Macaca mulatta: one gene and its partners. The protein of the gene in region 3 purifies or fractionates together with the protein of the main gene of each other region. This does not show direct contact. Links are inferred from orthologs where the notes say so. Each region holds a gene or a part of one and is shown on either strand. Other genes may lie near its edges.

Region 1 (4,130 bases), on a different chromosome or scaffold from region 3:
GAGGAAGAGAGGAAGAACGATAAAACGACTGAAGAAGGCTTTTAAAAAGTCTTCAAAGATCTTGATGGCCATGTTACAGAAATGTATTAGAGCCTTTTAAAAAGCTTAGTGATATGGTTAAATTGTCATCGTGGGGAAGATAAGCTTTAGTAGTATTTGTGTTAGCTGGACCGGAGGAGGACCTGTACATAGAAGTCAGTCCATGAGAGAGTCCAGATATACTAGAAACTGTGATGAGGAAAATACTCAATTCAGAGAGGAAAAAAGTGATTTGAGAGGTAAGGAATGATTGTTGTATATCCTCATGCATATCTGTCGGATAAGTGGTATTTTTGGCTTTTATGTGAAACCGCTTTTTAAGTTGGTCATTTTGACAGACTTTCCCAGGGCTATCAATAGAACCAGAGCTGCTTGCCTTTTGTGCCATTTATTTCTTTCTCTATTCCTTGAGCACAACTTAGTGTAAAATCCCTTGTAAGACTATCTAATCACTTTTGTCTATATCCATGGTTCTTAAAGCATGGTCCTCTGACTAGCAGCATCAGCAACACCTGGTAACTTGTTAGAAATACTACTTCTTAGGTGCCACCCCATACCTGCCAAATGGGAAACTGGCCATGGGGTCTAGCAATATATGTTTTAACAAACCTTCCATGTGATCCTGACAGATGCTTGAATTTGAGAACCAGTAATCTACAGAAATACCGTTCCTTATCTGCCCTAAATTGTTCTTCTGTTTTTGCCAGGTCTAGTTCCAATCCAGATGGGACCAGGTACCTCTATTATCTGGGATTACTATAGCTGGTACAGGTTTAGAATCAGTAGTCCCTTATCACAGGCACTAATGGCATAATATTGTTAGGGTGGGTGAAAGAGCTGCAACACGGAAGCATCCACAACATTTTCATTCATACCACCAATTAGAGCCTAGAGGAGCAGAAGTGAGAGGGTTATAAAAGGTAACTCCAATTAAGAGTGTTCCCTTGACTTAAATGAAAGTCCCTTGGGGACTGCACTCTGTAGAGTTGGGGCCACTGAGGTTTTTCTATCCTTGTTTTTTTCTTTCCTGGCTCTAGCTGCATCTTACACAGATAGCTCTGATGATGAGGTTTCTCCCCGAGAGAAGCAGCAAACCAACTCCAAGGGCAGCAGCAATTTCTGTGTGAAGAACATCAAGCAGGCCGAATTTGGACGCCGGGAGATTGAGATTGCAGAGCAAGGTAAAGAAAGGGAGTGGTTTAGGGGACGAGAAACGACCCTCTTGTTGGCCATCAGAATCCACAAACAACTTAAGACTTGAAAGCTGACTTGAAAGTATACTGGGAAGAAAGTATTATGGACTTCCGGATACACACTTCTCTCTCTATGGAACTTGAGTCTCAGGATTCTTGTTCTCTCTTCCTTCTGTTCTCAGCATGTGGTGATGACACACAGAGTAGTTTCTGTTTTCCTCCCCGCCCCACCCCACCACCGTATTCAAAGATCTACATGGCAGAATTGGCAAGTCCTAGATCACTACTTGGTAGTTGGTTATATGGGATCTTACTATAGCTGCCAATGCCAGAGACCCAGATTGCCCAGAGACAGCTGATGAGGAAGGGTTTTAAGCTAAGGATGTGGTGACCTAGCGTCTTGTTTGGTCCTGAGCACCCTCTGCTGGAGCAGAGTAAAAGTGACTGACAAACAGTTGAATCTTGGTTTCCCTACCCCAACCACTCCCAGTAAGGTCCTCTTTACTCTTGTGTTGTTTACACATTGAAGGCATGTTCTTTACTGAAAGAGAATAGAGAAACCAAACAGACTGACAGGATACGGTAAGACAGCATAGAAAAACAGAAGTTAGTGATTTCAGCTGAGGGTACAGTCTTTCTGGTCTGATGATTTTATATATAGGGATCTGTTAGCCAGTGCCTTAACTACTTTCCTCTCTTCCCAAATGAATGATGAGATTTACCCTTCATTTTGATCAGTTTTAAGGATTTACTTCATTCTCTGTTCAGTCCTCTGTGTATAAAGCTGAAGCAGTAGAGGAAGAGAGAAACTCCAAGTGGTTGCATGACCGCTCTCCACTATTACTGTGCTGTTGAAGCTGCCAGTCATCATGAAAATAGGCTTAAAGTTTTTCTGTCTCATCTCACCGTATCTCAACAGATCCAGACCAGCCCTGGGGCAGGAACTGATGATACTGCTAGTGCAGACCTAGCTCAAATCCTCTGTTCTTTCACAGACATGTCTGCTCTGATTTCACTCAGGAAACGTGCTCAGGGGGAGAAGCCCTTGGCTGGTGCTAAAATAGTGGGCTGTACACACATCACAGCCCAGACAGCGGTGAGTTTGTTGGAAGAAAAGAGGGACTTCTGATAAGGGGAAGAAAGAAATCAATGTTTTTTTTTGTTTCACTTTTCCTTCCTAACTCACCAACCTCCAAATGCTAACTATTAGTAGGATCTCCCTGCTACACAATAGTGGGGTTTTCTGGGGGTTTTTTGTATGTGTAAACCCACTTTCAGCAAACTTGACCTAGGAAAGTCTAGATTTGCAAACATATGATTGTTATAAAATGTTATTAAGACTTTTAGAAACCTACGTTTTATGTAAAGTTAAACACCAGTGCACCACCTCGCTGGAGTACACCCCTTTCTAACTTCCCAGTGTAGCGCCTGTTGGTGCAGAGTTGATAGGTATTGTTATCTTGCTGAGGCTTGCTCTCCATTCCTGGGTGGCCCTTCTCTTCCTCACCCTGTCTTCCTATACCTCTACACAGGTGTTGATTGAGACACTCTGTGCTCTGGGGGCTCAGTGCCGCTGGTCTGCTTGTAACATCTACTCAACTCAGAATGAAGTAGCTGCAGCACTGGCTGAAGCTGGTAAGTTCAGTATTTTTTTTTTTTTTTTTACCAAATTTGCCCCAAAATAGTTATCCAAACATATAACTTTTATGTATCAAAATTGTCATTACAATGTCATATATGTCTAGAGGCTGTAAAATTGGGGATGGTGAAAACCTCAACAGGAAGAATGTGGATAATAAAATTAAGATGTATATCCATGATGGAATATTATGTAGTCATTAAAAATGACCTTTGAAAATAATCTAATGGCATGGGGACATGCACAGTTCTGGTGTTAGTTGAACGAGGAAGAATGTTAAACTATATACGTGCTATCAGTTTTGTGAGAGAGCACAAGTAGGAAGTGCCTTTTATATTGATAGTGCATTAAATAATTTGGTATTCAGTATGGCATTGAAAATATATGAGCTATTCATGAGTTTAATTAAACAAAATAATTTTTTATTATTCAGGCCAGGCCTGGTGGCCCATGCCTATAATCCCAGCACTTTGGGAGGCCGAGGCGGGCAGATCACTTGAGGCCAGGAGTTCAAGACCAGCCTGGCCAACATGGTAAAACCCCACCTCTACTAAAAATACAAAAGTTAGCCGGGAGTGGTGGTGTGCGCCTGTAATTTCAGCTACTCCGGAGGCTGAGGTAGGAGAATCACTTGAACCCGGGAGGCAGAGACTGCAGTGATCCGAGATCATGCCACTGCACTGCAGCCTGGGCGACAGAGTGAAACTCCATCTCAAAAATTAATAACAATAATAATAATAATTTTTATTATTCAAATGTTCAGAAGAAAATCACCATGAAGTTTCTTTGAGGACCTCTCATCTTTCTCTCTTCCCTTCTCTTCTCTTTCTCTTTCTCTTTCTTTCTCTTTCTCTTTCTCTTTATCAAGATGGAGCCTTACTCTGTTGCCCAGGCTGGAGTGCAATGGTGCAGTCTCGGCTAACTGCAACCCCTGCCTCCTGGATTCAAGTGATTATCGTGCCTCAGCCTCCTGAGTAGCTGGGATTGCAGATGCACGCCACCACACCCAGCTAATTTTTGTATTTGTAGTAGAGATGGGGTTTCACCATGTTGGCCAGGCTAGTCTCGAACTCCTGACCAGCCTGGATGTTTGATCTGCCTGCCTTGGCCTCCCAAAGTGCTGGGATTACAGGCGTGAGACTGCACCCAGCCAGACCTCTCATCTTTCTAAGAACCTCAGAAAGTAACTTTATAATACTTTTGGGGTTTTTTGTTTATTCTTTTCTGATAAGTGTTTACTGCAAAAAATTTAGGAAGTT
Region 2 (4,130 bases), on a different chromosome or scaffold from region 3:
AGCTCACTGCAACCTCTGTCTCACCGTTTCAAGCCATTGTCCTGCCTCAGCCTCCCAAGTAGCTGGGACTACAGGCGTGCGCCACCATGCCCGGCTAATTTTTCTGTATTTTTAGTAAAGATAGGGTTCACCATGTTGGCCAGGCTGGTCTCGAACTCCTGACCTCAGGTAATGACCCACCTCAGCCTCCCAAAGTGGGATTACAGGCATGAGCCACCATGCCTGGCCATGTGTTTGGTTTTTTGGAGACAGGGTCTCACTCTATTGTCCAGGCTGGAGTTCAGTGGCACAGTCACGACTCACTACAGCCTCCATCTCCCATGCTCAAGCAGTCCTCCCACCTCAGCCTTCCTAGTAGCTACCCAGCTTTTTCATGTCATTAAGGTGGGAGCTTCTCTTGTAGCTTTGTGTATTCTAAACAGAAGCAGAACTGTAAATCTGTGTTTTTTAAGAAAAGTTTTGGCTCTGAAGTCCTTGATTTATTAAATCTTATGGGGAGGCTTAATTTAAATTGGTAAAAACATAGAGTCAGCTGGAGCCTCCCTCTTCCCATGGCTTCCCCCAATACTTGCCTTCTTCTTAGAATACTGAAGAAGTTCTGTAGAGCCCAACTTGAAAATCACTGGCCTAAGTCATTCCTGTTGTATTTTCTGATTGTAAAATATATAAACTTTATCTCCTTGACTAGTTGTTTGGCCCAGGCTTGCTCATCCCCTGCTTTGTCTTTAATACAGGTACTTATGGAAACTCTAGGTGCTCTGGGGGCCCAGTGCCGATGGGCTGCCTGCAACATCTATTCCACTCTCAATGAAGTGGCTGCTGCTCTAGCAGAAAGTGGTAAGAGCTTGTTCTCTGTGCCTTTGGCTAAAGTAAGTCTCCAAAAAGCTCTGTTGTTTCAGCATAAATCTTTAAAGAAGGTTGACAATAAAAGAACTATCTTGGAAGAAATAGATCTCAATTCTTGATGAATTTACTTTTTCTGGCCTTCGCTTGTCAAATATGATCTAGTTAACTTTGCCATTTTACAGTTGACAAATATCTACCTTTGTCTAATATTCCATTATTAGGTAATGCTTTGTTTTGACTCACTGATTTACTAATAGCAGAGCACTAGTGAACACTACTCATTGAGGTAACATGGATTACAGGAGAAAATGCTTCACCCTTAGTTTTGTGACCCTATTGGTTTTCCAGCAAGTAATTTGCCCTGATTTAATGTTTGGTGTTTCTGCTTCAGGAGTAAAGAGGACTTGACCTGGCAGATTAATATTTGATCACAGCATCCACTAGTAGTTGATGGACAAAAGAAATAGAGAAATTTGGACTTTGCCAGCCTCTTGCCTTTACTCTTTGGCAGTACAGCTCAGCGTTTCATTTGTTCTTTCATTTTAATTTACTTATTTATAAGATTTCATGGCTGTATCTATGATAGAAAAATATTTAATACTTTATTAATACAAATAGTAAATGTGTACCCCAGTGAATACGCATTCATTTCTTTTCCTTTTTTTTTTTTTTTTTTTTTTTTTGAGATGGAGTCTTGCTCTGTCGCCCAGGCTGGAGTGCAGTGGCCGGATCTCAGCTCACTGCAAGCTCTGCCTCCTGGGTTCAGGCCATTCTCCTGTCTCAGCCTCCCGAGTAGCTGGGACTACAGGCACCCGCCACCTCGCCCGGCTAATTTTTTTGTATTTTTTAGTAGAGACGGGGTTTCACCTTGTTAGCCAGGATGGTCTCGATCTCCTGACCTCGTGATCCGCCCGTCTCGGCCTCCCAAAGTGCTGGGATTACAGGCTTGAGCCACCGCGCCCGGCCGTTTTCCTTTTTTTTTTAAGTAGAGACAGAGTCTTGCTCTGTCACCCAGGCTGGAGTGCAGTAGTACAATAGTGTTTCCCTGCATCCTTCAATTCCTGGGAACAGGTGATCCTCCCACCTCAGTCTTCTGAGTAGCTGGGACTTTAGGCACATGCCACCATGCCCAGCTAACTTAAAAAATTTTTTTGAAGACACAAGGTCTTGCTCTGTTGCTCAGGCTACTCTCAAACAGCCGGCCTCAAGTGATCCTCTCGCCTCATCCTCCCAAAGTGCTGGGATTAGAGGTGTGAGCCACCATGCCCAGCCCATTTTTTTTTATTTCTTAATTTAATTTCTATTTTTAATTTTTATTATTTTATTATTTTTATTTTATTTATTAATTTTTTTGAGACAGAGTCTCACTCCGTCGCACAGGCTGGAGTGCAATGGTGTGATCTCAGCTCACTGTAACCTCCGCCTCCCGGGTTCAAGCAACTCCCCTGCCTCAGCCTCCTGAGTAGCTGAGATTACAGGTGCCCTCCACTACACCTGGCTAATTTTTGTATTTTTAGTAGAGACGGGGTTTCACCATGTTAGTCAGGCTGGTCTCGAACTCCTGACCTCAGGTGACCCGCCTGCCTTGGCCTCCCAAAGTGCTGGGGTTACAGGCGTGAGCCACTGTGCCCAGCAACCCCATTTCTTTTTTTTAAACAAATGCTTACTGACCTACTCTAAGAGCTGTAAGGGCAAATGAGGCAATGTCTTTACCCTCAGAATCTTATATTTTGGTGAGGAGATAATACACATATATAAATAATGATACAAGGACATATATGATAAATGCCATGACAGATTATAAATCCATATTCACTATACAAACAAGAGGCTTAGAAAAGTTCAGATTCCCACTTTGGGAGGCCGAGACAGGTGGATCACCTGAGGTCAGGAGTTCAAGAGCAGCGTGGCCAACATGGTGAAACTCCGTCTCTACTAAAAGTACAAAAATTAGCCGGGGGTAGTGGAGGGCACCTGTAATCCCAGCTACTCAGAAGGCTGAGGCAGGAGAATCGCTTGAACCCAGGAGGCAGAGGCTGCAGTGAGCCGAGATTGCACCACTGCACTCTAGCCTGGGGGACAGAGCCAGACTCCATCTCAAAAAAAAAAAAAAAGGCCGGGCGCAGTGGCTCACACCTGTAATCCCAGCACTTTAGGAGCCTGAGGCGGGCAGATCATGAGGTCAGGAGTTCGAGACCAGCCTGGCCAATATGGTGAAACCCCGTCTCTACTAAAAATACAAAAATTAGCTGGGCGTGGTGCCACGCACCTGTAGTCCCAGCTACTCAAGAGGCCGAGGCAGGAGAATCACCTGAACCCAGGAGGTGGAGGTTGCAGTGAGCCGAAATGGTGCCATTGCACTCCAGCCTGGGTGTCAGAGCGAGACTCCATCTCAAAAAGAAAAAGAAAAGTTCAGATTCCTTGAGCGCTCATTTCCAGCTGGGTTAATCAGGCTTCGTTAGGAACATGACACTTAACTGGGCTATGAATTATAGTAACGTTTTAGCAAGTGGAAAAACACTTTTTTTTTTCTTAATAATAGGGTGGGATGATTAAAGTATAGAAGCAAAAAAAATTAAAGTGTAATTGGGAAATGGTGAGAATGCCAGTTTGAGTGGATCAAGAAGTAACTGTTTCTGGTTTTTCTTTTCCCACTAGTCACTTTTTTTTTTTTTTTTTTTGGAGACAGAGTCTTGCCCTGTCCCCTAGGCTGGAGTGCAATAACAACGATCTTGGCTCACTGCAACCTCCGACTCCCAGGTTCAAGCCATTCTTCTGCCTTAGCCTCCCCAGTAGCTGAGACGACAGGCGTGCACCACCACACCCAGCTAATTTTTGTATTTTTAGTAGAGACAGGTTTCATCATGTTGGCCAGGCTGGCCTTGAACTCCTGATCTCAGGTGATCCACCCACCTCAGCCTCCCAAAGTGCTGGGATTACAGGAGTGAGCCACTGTGCCTGGCCCCCTCTCGTTACATTTTAAACAGCTGTCATACTTTTGTCCATTCTACTTGTCCTCATTGGGCTAATAAGAGCAGAATGACCATCAAAGACAAAGGAATGGATAAAGGGGCTGAAGGCAATGCCAATCAGTGAAGAATGTCAATCCAAGGATTATAGCAGAATGAGAGAGTTGGAAATTAGGAACCAGAATCTTCTCACTAAAATTTGGCGATCAGCCTCTTTTGGTCTTTAATGGTTTCTCTTTGTTCCTTTTTTTCTCAGGATTTCCTGTTTTTGCCTGGAAGGGAGAGTCAGAAGATGACTTTTGGTGGTGCATTGAT
Region 3 (3,140 bases):
TCATCCCTCGATCGTTCAGAACAAGGACCCACCAGCTCTTTCATACCAAAGCCATGTTGGAGACCCTGAGATGACTCAGACTCAAGTGCCAGCCTGAGGGTGGCGAGGGAAACACACACACACACAAGCCTTTTCCTCCCATGCCCTGCCTGCCCAGGGCCCAGATAGGGAGCAGAGGTGCAGCTGTTCAGAGGCAGGGCCCAGAGACAAGTGGTGGCAGGCGGAAGAGCCTTCCTGGGCAGGGGAAGAGCTGGAGGAAAGGTTGGCAGGGGTGGGGCGGGGGGTGGTGGGCACCGGGGATGTGGCTGGGGCCAGGGGGCCAGGAAGGAGGGTGCTGAGGCTCTGAGGTGAAGCCACCAGGGCCAGACCACGCAGGGCCTTGTGGGACTCTGTCCTGGGGGAAATGAGGAAGCAGAGTGGGCTGTGAGCAGGGCAGGGGTGAGGGCAACCCCATGGGAGAAGCAAGCAGTGTTAAATGAGGGTGATGCGGGCAGCTGTCATCGTTGAGGTAGCTCAGTTCACTGGGGGAGCCCAGACAGGGCCCCGACCCAACCTGAAGGTCAGGAGCCTCCTCTCAGAGGATCTGACATCTGAGGCAGGTCTTCAAGGACAGAGGAAGGGACTGGCGGAGGGACAAGGACTTTGTCCAGGGCGCTGGGGAGCTATGGGAGAGCTGTGAGCAGGGGAGAGCCAGGGCCACGTGGGAATGGACTGGAGGGAGGCTGGGGGAGAAGACAGAGCCCAACTGGGGCCTTGGGGACAGGGCAGAGTTGGGGCAGGAGAGACAGGACTTGAGGGTGGATGAGTTGTGGGGTCTGAAGCGGGGAGAGTCAAAGGCTGAGGCAACTTGTGGCCCCTGGCACCCCCATTTTGTGGGGCGGCCTTTCCACGGGTCCCCAGCTCAACTCTGGCCACCCCCACTACCAGGTTGGCCCCAGACTCCCGGCTGAACCCTCATCGCAGCCTCCTGGGCACCGGCAACTATGACGTCAACGTGATCATGGCCGCTCTGCAGGGGCTGGGCCTGGCCGCTGTGTGGTGGGACAGGAGGAGGTAGGCCCCAGAGCCGCACAGCACATCCTGGGCCGGGCACAGAGGGCACCCTGTCGTGTGAGCCTGTTGGGGGGTCAGGGAGGGGAATGTGGCCGGGGGGGGCTGGCTTGAATGCAGGAAGGCTGGTGCTGATGGGTTAGTGGGGGAGATCAGGCGGTCGGCAGGCTGAGACGCTGGGTGGATGATGGTTACCGGGTGAATGCTGAGTAGGTGGTTGGATGTGTTGGGTGAGGGGGAGTGAGGGGATTGGGTGTTCATGGTCAGTGGACAACAGACAGGAGGCTGGGGAGTTGGGTGGATGAATGGGAGGTTTTGATGGCTGGCTGGCCAGTGGCCAGGTGTGTGGCTGGTGGATGAGGGGTAGACCAATGGCAGGTGGGCCAAGAGTGGGTGAGGACTGGGGGCATGGTGAGTCCACTGTTGGGTGAATGGCTGGCTGGGTGGTGGCTGGGTGGTGGGTGGTGGACAGTAGATGGCTAGTTGGATGGTGATGGTGGCGGGGAGGTGAATGCATAGATGGAGGTGAGTGTGTGAATTGTTGTTGGGAAGTTGGCTGGTGGCTGGGAGGCCCGGTGGGGTGGGCGGATCATGCCTGGATCCTGGGTGGCTGTGTGAGGAGTAAGTTGGTGGGTGGGTGGCTGGACAGACAGGGTGATGGTGGTTGGTGAAGGGCCGATGTGAGTTGGGTGAATGGTGGGTGGATGGGTGGGAGGTCTGGTTGGGCGGCTGCATGGGTGGGAGGTTTGAGTGGGCGGGTGAACGGAGAGTGTTGGGAACCAGGGTGGCTGATTAAGGAATACCTCTGGGTGGGTTCAGGAGGCCCCCACCGCCGCCAGCCTGGGCCCCACATGGTCAGCCACATTTCACCGGCGGGCAGAGCAGGCCCTGATGGCGGTGTCCCCTCCCTGCCCGCACAGGCCCCTGTCCCAGCTGGCCCTGCCCCAGGTGCTGGGACTAATCCTGAACCTGCCCTCGCCCGTGTCTCTGGGGCTGCTGTCACTGCCGCTACGCCGGCGGCACTGGGTGGCCCTGCGCCAGGTGGACGGCATCTACTACAACCTGGACTCCAAGCTGCGGGCGCCCGAGGCCCTGGGGGACGAGGACGGAGTCAGGTGAGCCCCGCAGAGGTGATTCCAAGACCAGGGGCCTGAAACCCCACTCCCCAGAGGGAATGCCCAGGCTGGCTGAGCCTCAGTCTCCCCATTTCTCCCACCCAGGGCCTTCCTGGCGACTGCGCTGGCCCAGGGCCTGTGTGAGGTGCTGCTGGTGGTGACCAAGGAGGTGGAGGAGAAGGGCTGCTGGCTTCGGACAGACTGATCTCAGCTGACCGTCGGCGCCCACAGCACAGTCCCTGCGCGTCCCCCTCTGACTGCGCACACTGCGTGCCTGGGAAAGGCCTGGGGAGGCCCGGCCCCCTCCCCACACCCCTGCTCCCCACTGCCGCTGCTGCCTCAATAAATCTGCTGATTTTCTGCCGCCTGGCCTGTGTCTGACTGCCCCGCCCTTCTGGGGCCTCTTCTACTCAGTCACTCCCACTTCTCTGACCGGCCAGACACCCTGGTGGGTGGGGCTGAGAGCCCAGGAGTCCTCCTGGTTCTCTGCCGCCTCATGCCAGTTGCTCACCGCTGGGCCTCAGCTTCCTCATCAGTGACACAGCAGAAAACAGTACAAGTCCGTGCCCCTGGGGCTCACGCTCCGCCGGTGCTGGAGAGAGACCAGTGGCGAACGAATGCGTTTGATCTGGGTTCCACGGGGGTACTTGCTAAGGAGAAAGCAGGTGTTTACTTCTTTATTCGATTGATTGAGACAGTGTCTCACTCTGTCACCCAGGCTGGATTGCAGTGGGTCAATCACAGCTCACTGTAGCCTTGAACTCCTGGGCTCAGGTGATCCTCCCACCTCAGCCTCCCAAGTAGCTGGGACCTCAGGTGCCATACCTGACTACTTTCTTTAAATTGTTTTGTAGAGATGGGATCTTGCTCTGTTACCCAGGCTGGTCTTGAACCCCTGACCTCAAGCAATCTGCCTGCCTCGGCTTCCCAAAGTGCTAGGATTACAGGTGTGAGCCACCGTGCCTGAGTTTACTT

Evidence for each region.
Region 1: the proteins of JOSD2 (region 3) and AHCYL1 purify together in Homo sapiens (affinity purification with mass spectrometry; 4 studies listed by BioGRID and IntAct, counting the BioPlex papers as one, with this or other methods). This does not show direct contact. The link is inferred for Macaca mulatta from reciprocal best matches to the Homo sapiens genes JOSD2 and AHCYL1.
Region 2: the proteins of JOSD2 (region 3) and AHCYL2 purify together in Homo sapiens (affinity purification with mass spectrometry; 3 studies listed by BioGRID and IntAct, counting the BioPlex papers as one, with this or other methods). This does not show direct contact. The link is inferred for Macaca mulatta from reciprocal best matches to the Homo sapiens genes JOSD2 and AHCYL2.

Annotation. Positions count from the first base shown.
Region 1 is NC_133406.1:130,183,894-130,188,023, reverse strand, and holds part of AHCYL1 (S-adenosylhomocysteine hydrolase-like protein 1), read left to right. Parts: intron 1-1,076; coding exon 1,077-1,220; intron 1,221-2,227; coding exon 2,228-2,328; intron 2,329-2,764; coding exon 2,765-2,867; intron 2,868-4,130. UniProt on the Homo sapiens protein: Multifaceted cellular regulator which coordinates several essential cellular functions including regulation of epithelial HCO3(-) and fluid secretion, mRNA processing and DNA replication.
Region 2 is NC_133408.1:169,039,339-169,043,468, forward strand, and holds part of AHCYL2 (adenosylhomocysteinase 3), read left to right. Parts: intron 1-734; coding exon 735-837; intron 838-4,071; coding exon 4,072-4,130. UniProt on the Homo sapiens protein: May regulate the electrogenic sodium/bicarbonate cotransporter SLC4A4 activity and Mg(2+)-sensitivity. On the contrary of its homolog AHCYL1, does not regulate ITPR1 sensitivity to inositol 1,4,5-trisphosphate.
Region 3 is NC_133424.1:62,895,940-62,899,079, reverse strand, and holds the end of JOSD2 (josephin-2), read left to right. Parts: intron 1-927; coding exon 928-1,053; intron 1,054-1,970; coding exon 1,971-2,165; intron 2,166-2,270; coding exon 2,271-2,370; 3' UTR 2,371-2,529; downstream 2,530-3,140. UniProt on the Homo sapiens protein: Cleaves 'Lys-63'-linked poly-ubiquitin chains, and with lesser efficiency 'Lys-48'-linked poly-ubiquitin chains (in vitro). May act as a deubiquitinating enzyme.